Tamandua tetradactyla: one gene and its partner. Each later gene encodes a partner of the first gene's protein in a complex. Links are inferred from orthologs where the notes say so. Each region holds a gene or a part of one and is shown on either strand. Other genes may lie near its edges.

Region 1 (10,930 bases):
AGACAAAAGCAAATCAAATTATTTTAAAGACATTCAAGGAATATTTTTAATTACTAACGAAAAAAAGTATTTTTGTTTTTAAATCCAAGAAAATTTACAAGAAAGGACTTGATCATAAAGGTAATTATATATAATTTCTTTAACATAATTAGAAGACACTATATAAAGTGGATAGAGAATGGCATGGTGTTAACAGCACCAATAAAAGTTATAATGAGGGTGGGCCACGGTGGGTCAGCAGGCAGAGTTCTTGCCTGCCATGCCAGAGACCCAGGTTCGATTCCTGGTGCCTGCCCATACAAAAAAAAAAAAAGGTTATAGTGAAAGCTATGCCTACCTTTGGCAAGCCTAAGGTCATCTTTTAGTTAAGACCTCTTATTTAAATTCCAGTTTCCAATTTCCAAGAGCCTAAAGGATTTTTTTTACTAAAATCTCCTATGATCATTTCAAATTCAGTATATCTAAAATTAAATCATACTGTAAAATGAAAAAGCATTTTGTAAAAATTAGACACATGCATATGCTTGTGCACATACAGAAAAGCTCTGGAAGGATAACAGTTGAAGGGGGAAGGGAGCCGCAGTACAGGGGAAGGGAAAAGAAGAGACAGGAAACTTTCTAACTTCAACAACTTCTGCAGTCTGAATTTTTCTACAAGTATCGGTTACTTCTATGATGTATGAAATGGAAAATTAAAAAAAAAATTAATACTCATTCTTTCTTTAACTGACGAAGATACTAATTTTAACTCTTCCACCTCTATTAAAGGTATTATTCTCTCAGTCTAAAAAATACGATCATCTTGAATTCTTCCCTATCCTTTACAATCTCAAGCCAAGAACTCTGGTACTTTTTTTTCTCCTTTTTGGTCAAAGATTTCATTTTTTTTTTCTTTCTCTCCATTCCTACTATCATCCCTCAATATGGTTTTAAGTTCTCTTAGAATACCACTTTTATTACATTGTTCTCGCTATTTAGGAATATGCCCTTTTTCCTATCACCTACCATATACCACATACCAAACCATATGTTTCAATTCTTCTGCATAGCTTTAAATATCTCTACACCCTAACTTCACTCTGCTTAACCTTTTCTTTTATTGCCCTTTAAATGAACTTGCTTCATCTGTGAAGCTCGTCACCAAGCTGGTCACCTAACTGGAAGTTTTATCATGCTTCCTCTCACGTTTTACTTCTTCATTTGTATTATTCTCTAACTTGGAATGCTCTCCACCTTTTACAAACATATTTCATAGTCTATCTCAAATCTCATCTTTTCTGTAAGGTCATTTTACCCCAATTCATAATCCACAACCATCTCTCCTTTACCTTATCCCCTTTGCATTTACTGCCCATATCATGGAATTATTAAGTTATGGTCCTTGTCTTGAAGAGTCACCCTGAAAGGTTTAACATCTGCTTTCAGTGCATGCACACTTATTTAATTCATAATACAACACACTGAGAAACATTTGCCCTGAATGCTTTGAGAAATCATTATCTTACAGAAACTTAAAAATTTTATTATTTGTTTAATTAATAATCACTTGTGATACTTGCTTTAACTTGAGAAAAAAAAATTTTAAAGGAACAAATACCATCAGATTTGTTGACAATTTGGCACTCCTGTACACACCCTTTGAGCAGGGGTTGTGTTTCAATAACTCTAATGTCTCTAACACCTAGCAGAGGACTTAGCACATAAGTGGTGTTCAATGAATGTTTGTTAAAAAGCCAAAAAGAATTTAAAGGCGTATTTAAAGGCGTAATATAAAGTTGCATAATGGCAACCTAAGTTTATAGCATGCGATTTTAAAGTAAAGATAGTTTAGAAAAAAAGAATTTTAAAAATGTCTGTAATTAATAAGCATAATCAGGATATCCAGGAAACAGAATTTTAAAAACTCGCCAAACCATGATGGGGAATAATGAACATGATAATTGCATTCCGACTAAAATAAAGAAAACTGACTATAGAAATTGGGTAATTAGGAAAGACAGTTATATTAATCACAGCAATCATCACTTGATGACTTTGGCCAACCTAGATACATAAAGTACCAGCATATTTCCTGGTTCTGCCTATAAGACAGGAAGGTAACTATGTTTCAGGGGATATTTGATTAGAGGTGCAGAACATATGTCCTTATTAAGGGAACTTGGTAGCAAGAACGCAACCTGGACTATGCATAATGGGTAACACTATACTCAAGGACCATGAAAGAGGAGTAGATGAGAGGGAAGCAAAAGCCAGGAGAGTATTATGCTGGTGGTTACTTCCAAGATAGCACAGAATGAGAGTCACTTCGCAGTTCCAAAATCAGGTTAGCAGTATTTGTGAAATCAAGCATTCAAAAAAATACACATTTTTGAACTCAGAAAGTAAAGTCAATAGTTATTACGGTAGTAGGCTATCATTCATACTAGATTACGAACCTAGTAGCCCTATTATATTATGGTACCACACCAGGTTACCGAACATATATATATGTAAGAGTTCCACAGTATCCTGGAGAGAGGAAAGGAGAAGGGACTGGAGAGAGACATATTCAGATGATTAGAAAACAAGGTGTTAAATAACATAACAGAACTATACAAAGAATTATGCAAGCAGGTAACATGAGTTTCCTAGAGCAAGTGATTGGTGATCTCAAATCATACATAGTACTACTGATGGACCAGGGGGCCAAGGACACTCTAAGAAACAGCATGCACATAGGAATGCATAGTTTCAACTGTTTTGGAAATGTCAGTTAGCTCGGCATGGTGGCAGAATGGGATTGCGATGATTGGATAGCAGAAAATTAAAATGCTAGCTCACGAAGAGAATTGTGTGCTATACAAGAATGTAGATTTTTTTTTGCCTGTAGCCAATGAACGACAACTGAAGGATTTTAAGAACGACACATTTAGATTCGTATTATGGATAGATTATTTTGCAGTACTATTGAAGCTGGAACAGAATTTGGGGCCCAAGAAACAAAACATATCCGTGGGTCTCAATTTTTCATTCTAGGAACCACTTTAACAAAATAATATATTCTATGAAACACCCAGTTTTCCAGTTTAACACCATAACAATCATGTTCCAAAATTTAAATGAGTGGAGTGTTCCTCTCACCCCCACCATACACACATTTCACATCAATCAGAGGATAGGATATTTCTATTAAATATTCCACATTATTAAAGACTACCATATATAGATACTAGCAGATAGTCACTTAAAGCTATAAATACTGTAGCTCAGTTTACTTGGTAAACTGCCTATGATCCCTATATCAGCCTTTGATAACCACTGATACGTATAAATGGTGAAAATCAATGGTGATGTAAGTGAAATTTCATCTAATCAGTGAAAGTGACAAAATTGATCCTGGGACATAAAGAGCCGAGATGCTGTCTATGAACTAAATAGATACAGAAAGAAGCATCAGTGTTCCTAACGGAGCAGAGCTGTCAAAGAGATGTATTATGATAAAGAATGGCTAGTCTTGTATAAAACGACCGGTAGACGGAGCGCCAGTGACAACTAGTTGTAGTAGTTTGCGGGCAAGGGAGGAAAGGGACCAAGGTAAAAAAGGGGTGTAAGTCATTCTGGAGAGGCTCCTACATGCACCAAAAACGAGACAATGAGAAACTCTGATACACACTGCAGAGTAGAGAAGGGATGAGAGGGTATGGAGCTGGGAGTGGAGACAGGGCTCCAAAGCTGGTGGCGGGAAGTTAGCGGATGAGGAAGCGGTACTAAAGGGATAACTGGAGTTTGAAGGAGGAGTGGAAGCGACGGAGCGTAGGAGGCCAGATTTCAGGATAGTGGAAAAGAACTAAAAACTCCGAGACGCTGAGGGAGGGAAGGACAGACTGAAGGTGTCACTCGTGACTCGCCGGAGCTAACCCTCCCGCACCCAGCCCGGTACTCACAGAGCTCAGAGTACCGGTGGCAGCCCCGTCCCAACTGCTGCAGATAACGTTGTAGCACGTCCGTGAGGAGGTGGCAGGCGCTGAGTTGCACCGAGTCCCAGCCCAGCGCCTGGCAGATCTGCGCCACCGAGACCCTCAACAACGACCTGGAGTAACTCTCGCACATCCCGCTCCGCTGAATCCACCGCAGCTTTTGCTGCCACTTCTCTCCACCAGCGCCGCCTAACCTTAGCAGAGGCCTCGATTCATCCTCCAGGGTCCCCGCGGCGGGGAAATTGTGCCCCCCCGGCCCCTGGCGACCTCCTCAAAGCCTCAGCGACACGGAGCGCGCCAGCCTGAGAGTCGCCATTTTGGACTCGCTCCGCCTCTCGCTGGACTGTCGCCGGGGCGAGGCAGCAGTAAGCGAGCACTGAGAGAGTCGATGAGAAAGCGCTCCTCCCCATTCGCGCAGGCCAATCGAATGGGGCTCGACTCTCAGACCTAGAACCTTGAAGGAAAAGGCTGCAAGTAGGGTGCGCTCCGGAGAAGTCAGACAACTGAGGTATTCTCAGTGGGACCCTCACGCTGTAAAGAAGGGAGAGTGAAGCCAAAGTATCTTAGAGTCAGAAGAGGAAGCTGGGACCTGAAATTGAGATGGAGGTATCAAAGAGAAGTGGGATTCCCAGATGCTTTGAGCACAGGGGCCTGGTTGGGGGGATGGGAACTTAAATTGTTAACTAAAACGCGGATCTCATCCTGTCTTCTGCTAAAAAAATTGAGCTGCTTATGGTTGTATAGATTCAGTAAGTCCACGCTGTTCAATATGGCATTCAAAGCTGCAGGGTCGGGCCTAGGGTCAGGTCAGGGAAGCAGTTACTGTGGTGCAAGATTTGCTAAGGGGGCACGAAAATCTCAATAATAAAGATAAATATTTTCTTAATTTTTTAAAATCAAAATTAAAGCTAAAAAATCCATGAACAAAATGCCAACATCTTAAAAACAAGAACCGAGCCTGCACTTCCAGGGTCCTGCCTTACTCACCTCAACTTTAATCCAGGCTCTCGTTCTAATGAAACTTTATTTACAATACCGGGCAGCCCGCCGGTGGGCCATAATTTGCCATTTGTCTATCTCCAGCCATGTGATCTATTAAGGGAATGGGGAACTCAGTTGCTTATCAGAGGCCAAACAAGGAACTTAAGTGAATTAAGCAGGCTGAGTGTATGGAAGTGTCACCTACCCCAGAGTGTTTTCCCAGCTCCAGCAAAGTGTTGCCAGATCTTTCCAAGTTGCCAAAATTTTCAATTTTTATTGATAATACATTTTCAGAATTTTAGCTTGCAAGCCAAACTAGATTCACCCTGGGTAAATTGTAATGGCTAATGTACTTAGTTTCTTAAATATATTCTTATGTGCCCCGCCCCCTCCCTGTCCATCCTCTCAAGCTTTGGAGTGTTCCCTACTTCCTTATACTTATCACCCTTCATTTAGTATTTGAGTTTATTGCTTCCCTTAATAAATTGTAACTTTGAGAGACCCTATTCTTCCTACAAGTACTATTCAAGAGCTTTGAACATAATAGCTATTCATTTTTTTTTAAGTCTTAAATACCCAGTAGAAGTGAATATCTGCTACTTCAGCTCAAGAACAATCCGCAGAGAAGGAACAAGGGACCATTTTACTGCTCAATCTATAGGACACTTTTCAGTCCTACCCTTATTTGATCATTTTGTAGCCATTTGACAATGTTGAACACTGCATTAACTTTGAAACTCTCTTGTACCTTGGATTTCACAACACCCCACTTTCTTGGTGGTGTTCTTTCAATACTTCTGGAGGCTCTTTTTAAATCTCTATAATGGCACCACTTTATTTGCCTGTTGTTTGTTTTGTTTTGTTTTAACCCCTCAGTTATTTTATTTTGGAAAATATCAAACCCACAGAAAAGTTGAATAGGAAGTATAAACACAGGTATAAACTTCACTTAGACTCACCAGTTGTTAACAGTTTTGCTACATTTACTATATACACACAGATATATATGCAAACACATTTTCTTTCCAAAATGGTTTGAAAATAAATTGTAAAACCTCATGATACATGCTACTACCCTTCATTGAGCATTTCCTTCATTGTGACACAAGATTTTCCAGGTTCATACTTGTACTTTCCCTGCCCTAGACTTGGAATTAGCCATTTCTCCAAGGGTCCTAATTCTTCTTAGTGAGGATTGGTATTTAGAAAACAAGATATGAGTGGTAGTTCATCTTTGTTACTACAGGGGTATCAGTACTTCAGGGCCCTTTTAGTAGACAGAACTAGGGGGGAAATATAAATATATATATATATGAGTCATAAGTACATACTCGTGCCTCTGATTCAAGTCTGAAACTACATATTCTTTACCTTCTCCCATTACTTATGTGTACCTCCCTTCTCCCAGAGAACCTTGGTTTTTTTTGTTTTTTTTTTAACATGGGCAGGCACCGGGAATCGCACCGGGAATGCCCAGGCAAGCACTCTTACCTGCTGAGCCACCGTGGCCCGCCCAAGCCTTGGTTTTTAACAATATCAAATATTTGCTTTATCCTTTGCCTAATTTGTAAGTATTTGTTCTCTTTTCATACGATTCACCCCAATGGTTGAATGAATAGTTATGTAAAGATGACTCCAAATGTAACATTTTAGCCCAGATTTTTCCTTCACTTTATGCTAGTGTAACTTATTGCCTCTAGCAACTAACAACTGCTTGGATGAGTCCTATACAACTCAAATTTAATTCATGTGTGATGGATGTACAAAACTAAACTCATCAATCTATATATCCTTTGTCTCAGAGATTCACATCATCTACCAAGATGCCCAAGAGAGCTACTTAGGACTAAGTCACAAGTTGCTCTGTGTCCCAGCCCTCACAAAGCCTTCTCTATTCTAGGTTATTCATTTCACTCAAATTTGGACATTTCTTTCTATCTCTATGTACTGCCTAAAGACAGGCCTTCATCCTTTCTCATCTTCCTGCCTTTACCAACAAGCCATTTTCTCAACTGATGTCAGAGAAATAGTTCTAGACCGTCAATCTGATTGCAGTGTGTTACTCCTTTTAAAAGATTCCAGCAGGTCTCCATAGCCTTCACAGTTGTTAGGCTGCCATTGCTCCTTAAAGCCTATACCTCTCATAACTGCCTCCTTATATCCACTCACCAGCCAAAGCAAACTACTTTTTCACCTTTGGGTCTTTGCCTGCTTTCTTTTTGAAATATTCTTTTTATTGTTTTGTTTTGTAAAAAATCCTTTGGGAAGGATGTTGATTTGCAGGTGGCTAATATGACATACTCACTTCCCATTCTATACAAAGCACTCTACTGTATGCGGCTGGGATAAGAGAATAAAATGCCTGAAGACTGCCATCAAGTTGCTTACAATTTAGTGGGAGGAATTAAGATAGAAATGAAGTTAGAGAGGTAAAAGAAAAAAAAAATAGCAAGTGCTGTAAGAAAAGCACAGATGTAATGCTCAGACCTTTAGGAATGTGATAGGCAGAATAATGGCCCCTCATGATGCCCATTCTTAATCTTTGGAACATGTGGATACGCTGTGTTACTTGGAAGGGGAAATTAAGGTTGCAGATGGAAATCAAGGTTGCTAACCAGCTGATTATAAGATAGATGAGTCAGAACCAGGAAGATGGCCTGAGAAAGACTCGGCCAGCCACTGCTGACTTTCAAAAAGGAAGGGGATAAGTGAAGGGTTGTGGGCAGCTTCTAGAAACTGAAAAAGGCAAGAAAACAGATTCTCCCCTAGAACCACCAGAAAGGACCACAGCTTGACTTTGATCTAGGTTGAATGAGACACATTTGCATTGTTTGAAGTCATTAAGTTTGTGGTAACTTGTTACAGTAGTAATAAGAAAATAATACAAGGAGAAGGCAGTTATTCCCAGTCAAGTGTTAGAGGGACTGACTTCCAGTGGGTCATTTCATTTAGGCTTTGGGAAGTGGTAAGGTTTGAATAGCCAGAATGGTGACCAGACAGAAGGGACAGCCCAGGGGGAGGAGATAGTAAAAATATGGAGACAGGAAATCAAGAGACATTTATAGAGAACAGAAGTAGGAAATCAAGGACATTTACAGATAATAGCATAGTTCAGACTGGCCAGATAATATACCACATGAAAGAAAATGTTTGAAGTTAGAGAAGAGTTCATTCTGGAAAGCCTTCAATGCCAGGCAAAGGAATCGATCCTGTGCCTAACAATAATGAAGGTTTTTTGAACAGAAGAGGTGACATCTTATGCTTTATCACACTACTGTAATTATCATTTTGACTTGTCTTCTCCTTTAAGCTGTACACACAGAGCAAGAACTGTGTCCTTGTCATTCACTGCTAAGTCCCCAGTATATAGCATGGCACCTGGCATGGAGTTAGTGCTCAATAAAGAAAAAGCTTTTAGAGTTTATCAATAGTGTGGAAAATGGGTTACAGCACAAATCTGAATATACCAAAAACCACTGAACTGTACATTGAAAAGGATGAATTGTCTGGTACATAAATTGTATCTCATCAAAGCTGTTATTAAAGAATGGATTAGAGGTGAGTAGAAGAAAACAAGAGCCTCTTAAAAGAGCTGCAGCAGTTGGAATGGAGAGCAGTTGCTTTCCCTATGAACACTGAGTGGCAAATTGTCTGTACACAACTTTGGAGGACACAAGATTTATTGACTTAGCTTTCTTATGAGAGCTGAGCTCTGACCAGCTCTGAGAGTTCAGATCCTCAGCCTTCTATCCTGGTGAATAATGAACCTAGAGCAATATGGAAAAGCTGTGGACAGAGTGAAGAGATCGGTGCCAACAATGGGTTTATAGCCGAGAACTAGTGAAACCCAACTTCAGCCATGTTATCGTTTTATTCAGTTGGTACTGACAGGAGCTCATTAACTTGCAGTTTTCAAGCTTAGGGTTCCAATCTTAATAAAGTTTCTGAAAGTTGCAAATATTAAAGCAGTAAGGGAAACAAAGGTTCACAAAAGGCAAATTCTTAGAAAACAGGAGTTGCAATAATGACAACTCAATCCTAGAATACTAATAGATCTCATTCACTGAGGACAGTCTAGATGGTTTCAGAAAAAAGAATAGCAGTTTGTTTTAAATTATGTAATGAATCTATAAACTTTATCATTGTAATCACTCTGTTTTTTGATATTTAATAAATGGATGGATTATAACTAGGAGGGAAATTTTCAATTTTGTTCTTCAAGACTCCTTTCTGCATGTCTAAACTACACATGTATGTTCATAATCTTGCCCCAGCTAACATTTCTAGACTAATCTTTTCTTTCATCTTCTCTTGCATTAACAGTTCTCAGAATGTGTTTTGAGGATTTTGATTCTGGACTTTGCCACTTTGGCTCCCTGGCCTGAAACGAAACGCCTTCCCACCGCCACCAGCTTTCCCCAGTAGTTTAATTTCTACTGTTGTCTCCAGGCAGGACAGCCTTCTCAGTCTCATCTTCCCTAGACCTGGTCGAGTGTCCCTCCTATATGTTCACCAATGACAACATTTATCCATTTTGTCATTATTTGCTTGTTTTCTCCCCAGACTGTAAGCTCCTTTAGGGAAGTGTTTTAATTATCACTGTATCTTCAAAGCGCAAGTATCAATACATAGAGAATCATCAATATATACATTGAATTGATGATTACTTTTACATAGATCAGGCATTTAACCACATACATAGCACTTGCCATGTGTCAGAAACTGTTTTTAAGCACTTTGAAAATATCCTTTCATATACTCCTTATATCAATTCCATGAGGTAGGTACTAGTTTAATCTCCATCTTAACAATAAAAGGTACTGAAGATTATGAAACTTGCCTAAGGTCACACAGCTGGAAAGGGCTATGCTGGGATTCCAACCCAGTCTGCTTCAAAACCCCTGCTCTATGCATACAAAACTATCTTCACTTAAGTGTTGTTGGTAAAGCAAATTAATAAATTTTTACTCGGTTTTATTTCTCAAGACCCTATGCTGGGTCTATAAGAAAGTTGTCAGAGAAATGGAAAATTTCTTTTAAAAAATTCCCATATTGGATACTGCATTCCTTCAAATATAGCTAATCAGATGGCATTTAAAATTAGAGTGAAACAATGATAGTGCATTCTTATCCATCAGTGGCTAAATAAGCTTTCCTAATTACAACACAAGTGATAGAGTTGATATCACTAATATACAAAGAACTGTTATGAGAAATGAGTGAACAAGCAATTAGATATTGTTTATTAACCACCATTAACCATCATTAAGGATATACAAAACTTCAGAGTAGGAAGGATCACTCTTATTTGTTGGTGCAAGTTTATAATCTTTTTTAGAGGAATTTGGCAGTGTCTACTTAAATTTTATACATACAAGCGTGCAAACACTTGCCCAAGGATATCTACTCCACACTTCTATAGAAGCTATAAATTGGAAACCTGTATGTCTATCAAAAGATAGCACTTTATTTATCAATATGGAATGTCCAAGTTAGAGCTAAATGCATGTTATCCCTTTCTTGCAAAAACTTTCTTCTGGACTTTCATTTAAAGATGGCAAATTAAACTCACAAATACCCTATTTCATTCTTCTCATACTCCACTAAAACTTCAGTATAGAGATTTTGTTAAAAAAGGCATACATTGGGCGGTGCAATGGTGGCTCAGCCTTCTGCATCTCCTGCTCTCTGCCTGCTATGCCGGAGAACTGGGTTCAATTCCCAGTGCCTGCCTATGCATAAAAAGAAAAAGAAAAAAAAGAAAAGGCATACATTCACCATTCACCAGGACACGAAGAGCTGAAAAGGAGATAAGAAACACACAAGCAACATAAGTTTGGAGGTTGGATCCTTGGATCCTTTACTCCACTATGTGGTACCCTTGAGGGACAACGCCTCCCCAATAGGCACTAGCCCAAAGGTTTATTCTTTGGAGAGAATAGAAGAGGGTTTCTGGACTGAGGGGTATCAGGACCTTGACGTGTTGATGGTAC
Region 2 (10,114 bases), on another chromosome or scaffold:
TGGTGGTGATGGTAGCACACAATGAACGTAATTAACAGCACTGAATTATATATTTGAATTTGGTTAAAAGGGAAAATTTTGCATTGTATATGTTACAAGAATAAAATTTTTTAAAAATCCATGCAACTCCATAACACATGCAGTGAACCCAAAGTTAAACCATGGATTATAGTTAATAGCACAATTATAAATATGTGCTTTCATCAATTGTAACAAATGTACTACACCAATGCAAGGTATTAACAAGGTATAAGGGCACCCTGTATTGTATGCATGATTTTTCAGTAAACCCATAACTTCTCTAATAAAAACAAAAAAGGAAAAGAAGTTATGGGTCAAGTCTCCAAATTCAGAAACTGGGGTGGATGGTTGTGCCATTTATTTTCAGTGAGTCACAAAACACAGGAGGAATGGCAGGTTTTTAAGGAAAAGGAGTGATGCATTTCAGACATTTAGAGTTCATTTGCCTGAGGGGTATTTCCAAATATTTCCAGTGCACAACTGAATATACTAAATTTGAAGCTCAGAAAAGAGATCAAGCTTAGATATAGGGATTGAAAAGCTAATAAGTGAAATAACAGGAATAGATGAGATCTTTGGGCCATTTTGTCAGGCCATTTCCTTTCTGCCATTGATGGAACTCAGCCATCATCTGTGTTGAGGTCTTGATAAGAACAAAATTATTTTGATTAAATAAAAACACCAGGCGGGCCGCGGTGGCTCAGCGGGCAAAGTGCTTGCCTGCTATGCCGGAGGACCTCGGTTCGATTCCCGGCCCCAGCCCATGTAACGAAAACGGAGAAACAAAATACAATAAAACAAGAAAATGTTTAAAAAAAAAAAAATAAAAATAAAAATAAAAATAAAAACACCATAAAATAAAAAAATACCATGGGAGTTTTTCAGGCATGAATCTTCTAAGCATAGCAGAATACCCAGGTATACTACAATAGAATTTGTTACCCACAACACTAATATGTTAAGAAAACTTAGCTCTTATTATTTGCAAACTTCAAGACAGAGTCCAAAGCCTATATATTGAGGGAAACCCTGTCTAAGCCTCCACATTCTGTACGAAAACCCTAAAAATGTGAAAATGTTTCAGCAAATAAGTAATGACCAGATAATGAGAAAAATCAGTTTTGTGAAAAGTCCACAAATATCAGAATATCCGATTTGAAGACCTGGTGTCTGAATAACTGATTTGAAGTCTAAATAACTGATTTTAACGTTTCACAACTGATGTTTCCTGTCAAATACAAAATTAAAATGTGCTTTAAATATTTACTTCTGAGGCTAATAGCATTTTCAAACCAAAACTTTTTCTCCCATAAAACAATGTCAGAAACGAACTGCCTGCAACTCTACATTTTGTAAATTCTACAACTTATTTTTCAAAAATAGCTCATTTGAAGCATTAGATATCTTCATAACATGGATCACTTGAGAACATAAAAATTCTAAATATGTTTAAGAAATTATGAAATATCAGACTATGATACTGACTCCTTTATTACCAATTCTGTTGAGCTGACATGAATAAATACCTCAGTTCTGATTACTAAGTAATTGTAGAAGTTAATTGAAAATATTTAGAAACATAACCTTAATCCAAACCAGTGGAATGATTCATTTAATTGTACTTGATATCCATTGCATTAGCCACTTAAGCAGGTGACATTAGTCCTTTAAAAAAAGGATACTAACAGATCTTCATTTACAAAATTTAAGGTAGCTTAGCCTACTGTATCAAGTGTTACACAATTTAAGGTAGCTTAGGCTACCGTATCAAGTGTTTCCCAACCTCCAAATAAAGGAGGTTTGGAAATTTAATATAAAAATAACACTTCCCAATTTCTTGGCCCGTGCAGTGTCTTTTTCTTAAAACCCCAATTTAACTGCTTTTTTAGCTGCAAAAAAGGAACAAATTGCTCAGTCACTAAACCCCACCAAGAAATCACCTCCCACAACTCCCACCATCCATGGAAGAACAAGACAGATGAGGTGAAAAATAATTGCTTTTATTAACTGTATTAGAAACAATTTTATGAGATTATTTGCATTTCTACATGTGAAAACAACTGCTCTGAATAGCTGGGAAAATAGCTAACGCATGGGGGAAAAAATGCAAACTAGCTTCACTGCCTTTTCTTACTGATCTCAGAAGGCATCAAAAAAGCAATAGTGTCTGGCAAACAGAGTAACAACAGCAAAGTCTTGCAGTATAGCTGTGATTATGAACATTAAACTGTTCAATCCTACAACTTTCCTAAAATCATTTTTCTACCTATACAAGCCTACTTCCTAGAAGAGAAACACCTAGCAAACTGGTTCTGAGAAACAAACAGGATAAACTCAACAGAAGACAGAAGAGGGAAAAGGAACTACTACAAGGTCATAATATCCAATTCTAGGTGTTTCTTTTTGGCTGACCTGTCTGAGGAATAAAATTAAGTATCAGGGCGGGCCGCGGTGGCTCAGCGGGCAAAGTGCTTGCCTGCTATGCCGGAGGACCTCGGTTCGATTCCCGGCCCCAGCCCATGTAACAAAAACGGAGAAACAGAATACAATAAAACAAGAAAATGTTTAAAAATGTTTCCCTTTCTTCCTTCCTTCCTTCCTTCTATCCTTCCTTCCTTCTCTCTGTCTTTCCTTTAAAAAAAAAAAAAAAAAAAAAAAAAAAAAAAATTAAGTATCAAAGGTTTTCTCACTTCTCTAGGAGTGATTCTAGCTCTTCTTGCAAAGAGCTAAGCTGCTCCTTTTCTCGGTCTTCCTTCTGTTTGAGTTCATCCAACACAGCCTGAAATCTGTTCTTGAGCGCCAAGTTTTCCACCTTCATGATGAGATCCTCCTGTCGTTTTGCCCTGTCCTGGGTCTCTTGGAGCTTGCCCTTCACGTTATCAATCTGCTTCTGAATCCCCATAACCAGCTGATTGGTTCCCTCGTTTTCTTGGTGCTGTTCATCTGATTCATTTAGCTTGTCATGCAGCTGTCTCTCCAGATCCTCCTCCGTATCGATGATGTTTATATCTTCTTCATCCGGATGATGCGTCTCATCTTCATCTTCGCTGCTGCTGCTGAGGTCATTAAATATCTCCCGAAGCTCATCGTGTTCTAATGAGTCATGGCCCTGCCTATGGCCAGACATTCCCGGAGAGGAGATATCAAGGCCCTGATTTTCTGCCTCTTTGGTTTCATCTTCTGCAATGATTTCCCAACGAGTACTGACTGCTTCTGCATCTGTACTCAGCAAACGCTTCACTTCCTTTTCCACATCTGGAGATTCAATGTACTTCTTCTTTGCTGTCTTACGGAACCGTCTCTTTCTGACATTTTTTAGAGGCAGAGTAATTCCATGGTTCCAGATAAACTTCTTCTCTTTGTCCTTATCCTTTTTCTTGCTTGCTTTTGGATCAGCAGCGGCAACTGGCTCTTCCACTGGAGGGTAGAGGTCACCATCCACTGTTGACACAAGCATCTGACAGATATCAGCTGTCTTGTAAAAGGTTTTTTTATCAATGGTTTTCAAGCTTTCCATAACGCAGGGCAGATCTACCAACTTTGAAGCCAGTGGGACCCGGTCCACTCTGACAATTCCATGGCGCCCATCAGGATGTAACTCAATTGTCAGTCTGTCTTTCAAGTTGACATGGCCAGACTGTACTGCCCTCCTCACAGTAGAGGCATATTCCGGAGGTAGGCGTAGAATAAACTGGCTCTCTAGCTCATGAGGAGCATCATCTTTGCTCTTACTCATCTTTACTTCCTTGTGACACTTCTCCTCTAAAACTTGTTTCACTAACAAGTTCCAAGTTACTTTCTGCAATAATTAGAAAAGCCACTGTTACAAACTGAAATTCTTCATTACAAAGTTTAAAACACAACAGCAGCTAAGCATCTATTTTTACTTAATTATGAATTAAGTCCCAGGCCTTTTCTCTAAATATGACGCGACTGAGAACCAGTCGTTACTGACAAACACTGGCTTTTTCGCAGTTGTGATCATTTAAATCTATTAGCTGCAATGCCAAGTTTCAACCTCTAGGTGCCGCTGCCGGACAATGCAAACAGCTAGCAAGCAGCAAAGCAAATGGCGGTTCCGGCGAAATTATTTTCGGCCCAGAAAGTAATGCCCAACAGACATTCCCAATCCACAAACTCTCCCGGAACAAAGATATTTTAAAAAGCGAGGCGCAGTGAGCTTTCTTCGCCTCCGGTACTTACAATCCACTGAAGATTACAAGTTCGGCTTCTCCAGACCGGTGCGAGCGGAAGAGGACTCGGCCCGAAGCACGGCAGCCAGGGGCCCAGAGTCTCCTTTTCGATGCCTCTGTTCTTCTCAGCGGTTGGCACAAAGATCCGCTACCAATTACGAGTGAAAGGACCAGGGCTATCAACGCGAAATGTCGCCGAGATTCGCAGCTCAGTATACCGCAGCGCTCAGTCCGGAGCTGCAGACCTAGAGAACAAAGAAGCGCTACGTCACTGCGCGGGGCGGGAGGCGGCTTGAGCGACACGACCCCCTGCCCGGAAATGAGAGCCGCCCGGCGCGCGCATGCGCGTTTGCGCAGCTGGGCGTGAAAGGCCAATTTTTGCGACAACGTAGACCGTAAACCCCGTAAGAAGTAAAATATTTCATACAGAGCTTTTGGTTTGAGAACGCACGGAAATAACAGTTCGGATTAAGAGACAGACTTCCCCTACCCCCCACCTCTAGCTACCCTGCTAAGCCAGGACTTTTATCGGATCTCCATGGAGCCGGATAGCCTCTAGGCTTCCGGATGATTACCGGAGATAAGGGCGTTAGTGTGCAAAGTGTCACTGCTTCAAGGAATATGATGCTCCCCAAAGTGTGTCTGGGAGCCAATACAAGAATTTATAACTGTTCTGGTTTGCTAGCTGCCGGAATGCAATATGCTAGAACGGAATGGCTTTTTTTTTTTTTTTATTAATTAAAAAAAGAATTAACAAAACAATTAGAAATCATTCCAATCTACATGTACAATCAGTAATTCTTAATAACATCACATAGTTGCATATTCATCATTTCTTAGTACATTTGCATCGATTTAGAAAAAGAAATAAAAAGACAACAGAATAAGAATTAAAACAATAATAGAAAGAAAAAAAAACAAAAACAAAAAACCTATACCTCACATGCAGCTTCATTCAGTGTTTTAACATAATTGCATTACAACTGGGTAGTATTGTGCTGTCCATTTCTGAGTTTTTATATCCAGTCCCGTTGTACAGTCTGTATCCCTTCATCTCCAATTATCCCTTCTCTTTTTTTTTTTTTAATTAACGGAAAAAAAGAAATTAACCCAACATTTAGAGATCATACCATTCTACACATGCAATCATTAATTCTTAACATCATCACATAGATGCATGATCATCATTTCTTAGTACATTTGCATTGGTTTAGAAGAACTAGCAACATAACCGAAAAAGATATAGAATGTTAATATAGAGAAAAAAATAAAAGTAATAATAGTAAAATCAAAACAAAACAAAACAAAACAAAAACCTATAGCTCAGATGCAGCTTCATTCAGTGTTTTTTTTTTTTTTTTTTTTTTTTTTTTTGATTTTTCCTTGTTTTTTTTTTTTTTTTTTTTTTTATACCTCAGTAAATTTTTTTTTTATTAATTAAAAAAAGAATTAACAAAACAATTAGAAATCATTCCAATCTACATGTACAATCAGTAATTCTTAATAACATCACATAGTTGCATATTCATCATTTCTTAGTACATTTGCATCGATTTAGAAAAAGAAATAAAAAGACAACAGAATAAGAATTGAAACAATAATAGGAAGAAAAAAAAACAAAAAAAACAAAAACAAAAAACCTATACCTCCATGCAGCCTCATTCAGTGTTTTAACATAATTGCATTACAATTGGGTAGTATTGTGCTGTCCATTTCTGAGTTTTTATATCAAGTCCCGTTGTACAGTCTGTATCCCTTCATCTCCAATTATCCCTTCTCTTTTTTTTTTTTTAATTAACGGAAAAAAAGAAATTAACCCAACATTTAGAGATCATACCATTCTACACATGCAATCATTAATTCTTAACATCATCACATAGATGCATGATCATCATTTCTTAGTACATTTGCATTGGTTTAGAAGAACTAGCAACATAACCGAAAAAGATATAGAATGTTAATATAGAGAAAAAAATAAAAGTAATAATAGTAAAATCAAAACAAAACAAAACAAAACAAGACAAAAACCTATAGCTCAGATGCAGCTTCATTCAGTGTTTTAACATGATTACTTTACAATTAGGTATTATTGTGCTGTCCATTTTTGAGTTTTTGTATCTAGTCCTGTTGCACAGTCTGTATCCCTTCAGCTTCAATTACCCATTGTCTTACCCTGTTTCTAACTCCTGCTGAACTCTGTTACCAATGACATATTTCAAGTTTATTCTCGAATGTCCGTTCACATCAGTGGGACCATACAGTATTTGTCCTTTAGTTTTTGGCTGGATTCACTCAGCATAATATTCTCTAGGTCCATCCATGTTATTACATGGTTCATAAGTTTATCTTGTCTTAAAGCTGCATAATATTCCATCGTATGTATATACCACAGTTTGTTTAGCCACTCTTCTGTTGATGGAGATTTTGGCTGTTTCCATCTCTTTGCAATTGTAAATAATGCTGCTATAAACATTGGTGTGCAAATGTCCGTTTGTGTCTTTGCCCTTAAGTCCTTTGAGTAGATACCTAGCAATGGTATTGCTGGGTCCGGAATGGCTTTTAAGAAGGGGAATTTAATAACTTGCTAGCTTACAGTTCTAAGGCTGTGAAATTGTCGAAATTAAAACAAGTCTATAGAAGGGTCCAATCTAAGCATCCAGGGAAAGATACCTTCGTTGGAGAAGGCTGATGACGTTCAGCGCGTTTCTTTCTCAGCTGAAAGGGCACATGGCAAACACGGCAGCGTCTGCTAGCTTTCTCTCCAGGACTTTTGCTTCATGAAGCTCCTGGGGAGGAGTGTTCCTTCATCTCCAAAGGTCCCTGGCTGGTGGACTCTGTGGTTCTCTCGTCCTTGTGTCTGACTCTGCGCTCCTCTCCTCGTTCTCAAAAAAGGGAACTCTCTCTGAAATGTCTCTTCTTTTATACGATTCCAGTAAACTAATCAAGTCCCATGTAGGATGGGTGGAGACACCTCTTCATCTAATCAAGTTTAATCACCACAATTGGGTGAATCACATCTCTGTGGAAATAAACTAATCAAATTTCCAACCTAGAGATTAGAAGAAAACATTTCTCTCACAAGAGTGATTAGGATTAAAACATGGCTTTTCTAGGGTACATAATCCTTTCAAACCAACACACATGCTGAATTTTTTTCACTATGGCACTACTGTTTTGCTGGCTATTTTCTGTTTGTTTCACGTATGGGTTGTCTGGTGTGCATCAACACCTATTTATATTGTTGCCAAGTAATAGATAAGGGTTTCCACTTATTCCTACTCATTTCCATTTTTTTCAAATAGGATCAGTTTGGTAGAGCATCAAAGTCGTTTAGAATCTAATTGCTATCCTCTCAAATATTAACAATTACACATGAATTTAAGAGAATATCTTGTCTGATTAATATTCCCAAAATTGCTTTATTTATGCACTTGTTAATTGTTTTCCTCACCCCAGATTGAAAGCTCCGTGATGGTCAGGGAGCATTTCTATTTTATTCATCATGTGCCTACTACCACAACATAGGAGAAACACAAGAAAAGTTTGCTAATTGGATGGAAAATTGATCTATGTAGAAAGAACACAAATATAGGCTAACTCCTGTCATAATTTATGAGAGAGAATACTTTCTCTGTCACCTTAAAATGAGATAGAGTCACTTCATCTATGTCTCTAATACATAGATAATAATTTCTTCTCTAGTTGAGGGTAGTGCCAATTGTTATGGGGCAGGGGAGATTAATCATAGTGTATGTGAATGTGTCCTCTTGGTTTTAGGTAGATTGTGATATTGTATTATAGGAAGAAATTAAAATGACCTAGGATTAATTTAGTTTTATGTTAATCTTTAAGAAGAAAGTATGCCCTTCCAGAAGGGCATCCTTCTCTTTGTATTGAAGGATGCTATTTGATTCATTTATTATTTCCATGATGATCTATTTTCTGTCTGTTGAAGAGGAAATTTTTTCAATGTGCTTGTTCCTCAATTATACCTGATTTTACTTATTTTACAGATAGAAGAGTAAACATTCTAGCCTCTGCAATTATATATATATATATATTTATATATAAAATATAAATAATGCTTATGAATGAAAATAATCTAAATATTATTTTATGTTTTAATTCCCCAAGTTTGGGGATATTCAAATGCCCTTGTCACAGAAAGTAGCCTGAGATTAATTCTATTAAATACTGATTTGCTCAAATTATGATGTATTTTCGTTAGTAAACCTTAAACTGGAAGACAGTTTGAATTAACCAAAGGGATTAACTGAGGTTTCCCTGAGGCATCTAACTCATTTAATCCTGAAACATATTATTGGCTTTTGAGTTTAGCATGTGTTCTAAAGGCTATTAAATGGGGTGGGGAGGGATTATACTGACCTTGAAGTTAAGATCTCTGCCATATCACCATCACCTTAGTATCTATTAAGAAATCCAGGTTCGTTCGTTTTTTCAAATCCATTAAACATACAGAAAAACACAGACTCTGAGCCGATCAATTACCCCCCTGTACTTGTTTATGGAATATCTGTGATACCAGTGAACCAAATATTTAGGGAAGGCAATAAATTTTCCAGAGTGGTAACAAGTCCTTCAAAGACTTCCTACCTATAATAAGGGAAGACAATAATTAGGCTACTGCTAATACTGTATTCTTGAAAGTTTCCTGTAGTAAACTTTCACTTTCCTTAAAGGGCTGCTAATACTTTGGAGATTAAAAAATTGTGGGTGATGAGATAAGTTCTGTTTATATTTTGGAATTAGAAATTTATAGGAGTGAGGAAATAGCAAATATCCAGTAAAGGAAGCTTATTTACTATTATATCACAATATGTTTTGGGGGGGAGGCATGGTCCAGGAGTCTAACCCGGGTTTCCCACATGAAAGGCGAGCATTCTACTACTGAACCACCTGTGCACCCTATATCACCATGTATTTTTCAGGCATAATGCAAATTACCTAAAAATATGTACAACATATTTTTGTCAAGTAGGAAGCCTTTTATGAGAAAAAGCAACTAATGTATACTAATTTAAGAAATAAGAAAATCATTATCACAAACCTTGAGCATCACTGTCCAATAGAAATACAATGTAAGCCACAGATATGAGCCACAAATGTGATCTTAAATGGCAAAAAGAAACAAGTAGAAATTAACTTAAATAATATGTTGTATTTAGACCAATATATATAATATTGTAATTTCAATATGTGATTGATATACAAATTGTTAGAAATACTTACATTCTTATTGTGTAGTAACCCTTCAAAATCTGGTGTGTATTTACACTTACAACACATCTCACTTTGGAATGGGCACATTTCAAGGGCTCAATGGCCACACGTGGCTGGTGGCTTCTGTACTGGACCACAGAGATCTAGAGGTATGAGACGATATAATCATGGCCTGACACAATTTGGTTTTCACTTCCTAGTTTTAAAGAATGAATATTTATTTCTGCTTTTTTTTTCTCCCAGCACTGCCTTCCTCAGCCTGTGAATTTTCAAAACCTGGCCACGGTCCTCCCTTGCCCATCCCCCAACGAAAGTCTTTCTTTAATCCAAATGGATTTAGGTCATGTACCCATCCCTAAACAATAAGTAACTAGAAGAATACCCTAAGCCTATGATTCTCAACCCAGGTGGGAGGGGGGTGGGGATACCTGGTGATGTTTGAAGACCCTTTTGGTTGTTACACCTGGAGTGGAGAGGGTTACTACTGGCATCTAGTGGGTAGAGGGCAGAAATATTGCTAAACATCATATACTGCACAGCACAGGCCTCTAAAAGAGAGAGTTATGTGCCTAAAAATGTCAGTAGTAGCAAGGTCGAGAAACCCTGCCATAAACGAATTATTTTAAGCCTATATTCCTAAACCGTGCACTGCCAAGAAG

Evidence for each region.
Region 2: TAF3 (region 1) and TAF7 share a complex: the UniProt entries of both Homo sapiens proteins name them as parts of the TFIID basal transcription factor complex. The link is inferred for Tamandua tetradactyla from reciprocal best matches to the Homo sapiens genes TAF3 and TAF7.

Annotation. Positions count from the first base shown.
Region 1 is NC_135333.1:55,747,536-55,758,465, forward strand, and holds the start of TAF3 (transcription initiation factor TFIID subunit 3), read right to left. Parts: upstream 4,304-10,930; 5' UTR 4,090-4,303; coding exon 3,924-4,089; intron 1-3,923. UniProt on the Homo sapiens protein: The TFIID basal transcription factor complex plays a major role in the initiation of RNA polymerase II (Pol II)-dependent transcription.
Region 2 is NC_135346.1:21,436,977-21,447,090, forward strand, and holds TAF7 (transcription initiation factor TFIID subunit 7), read right to left. Parts: upstream 4,541-10,114; 5' UTR 4,225-4,540; intron 3,821-4,224; 5' UTR 3,758-3,820; coding exon 2,708-3,757; 3' UTR 2,685-2,707; downstream 1-2,684. UniProt on the Homo sapiens protein: The TFIID basal transcription factor complex plays a major role in the initiation of RNA polymerase II (Pol II)-dependent transcription.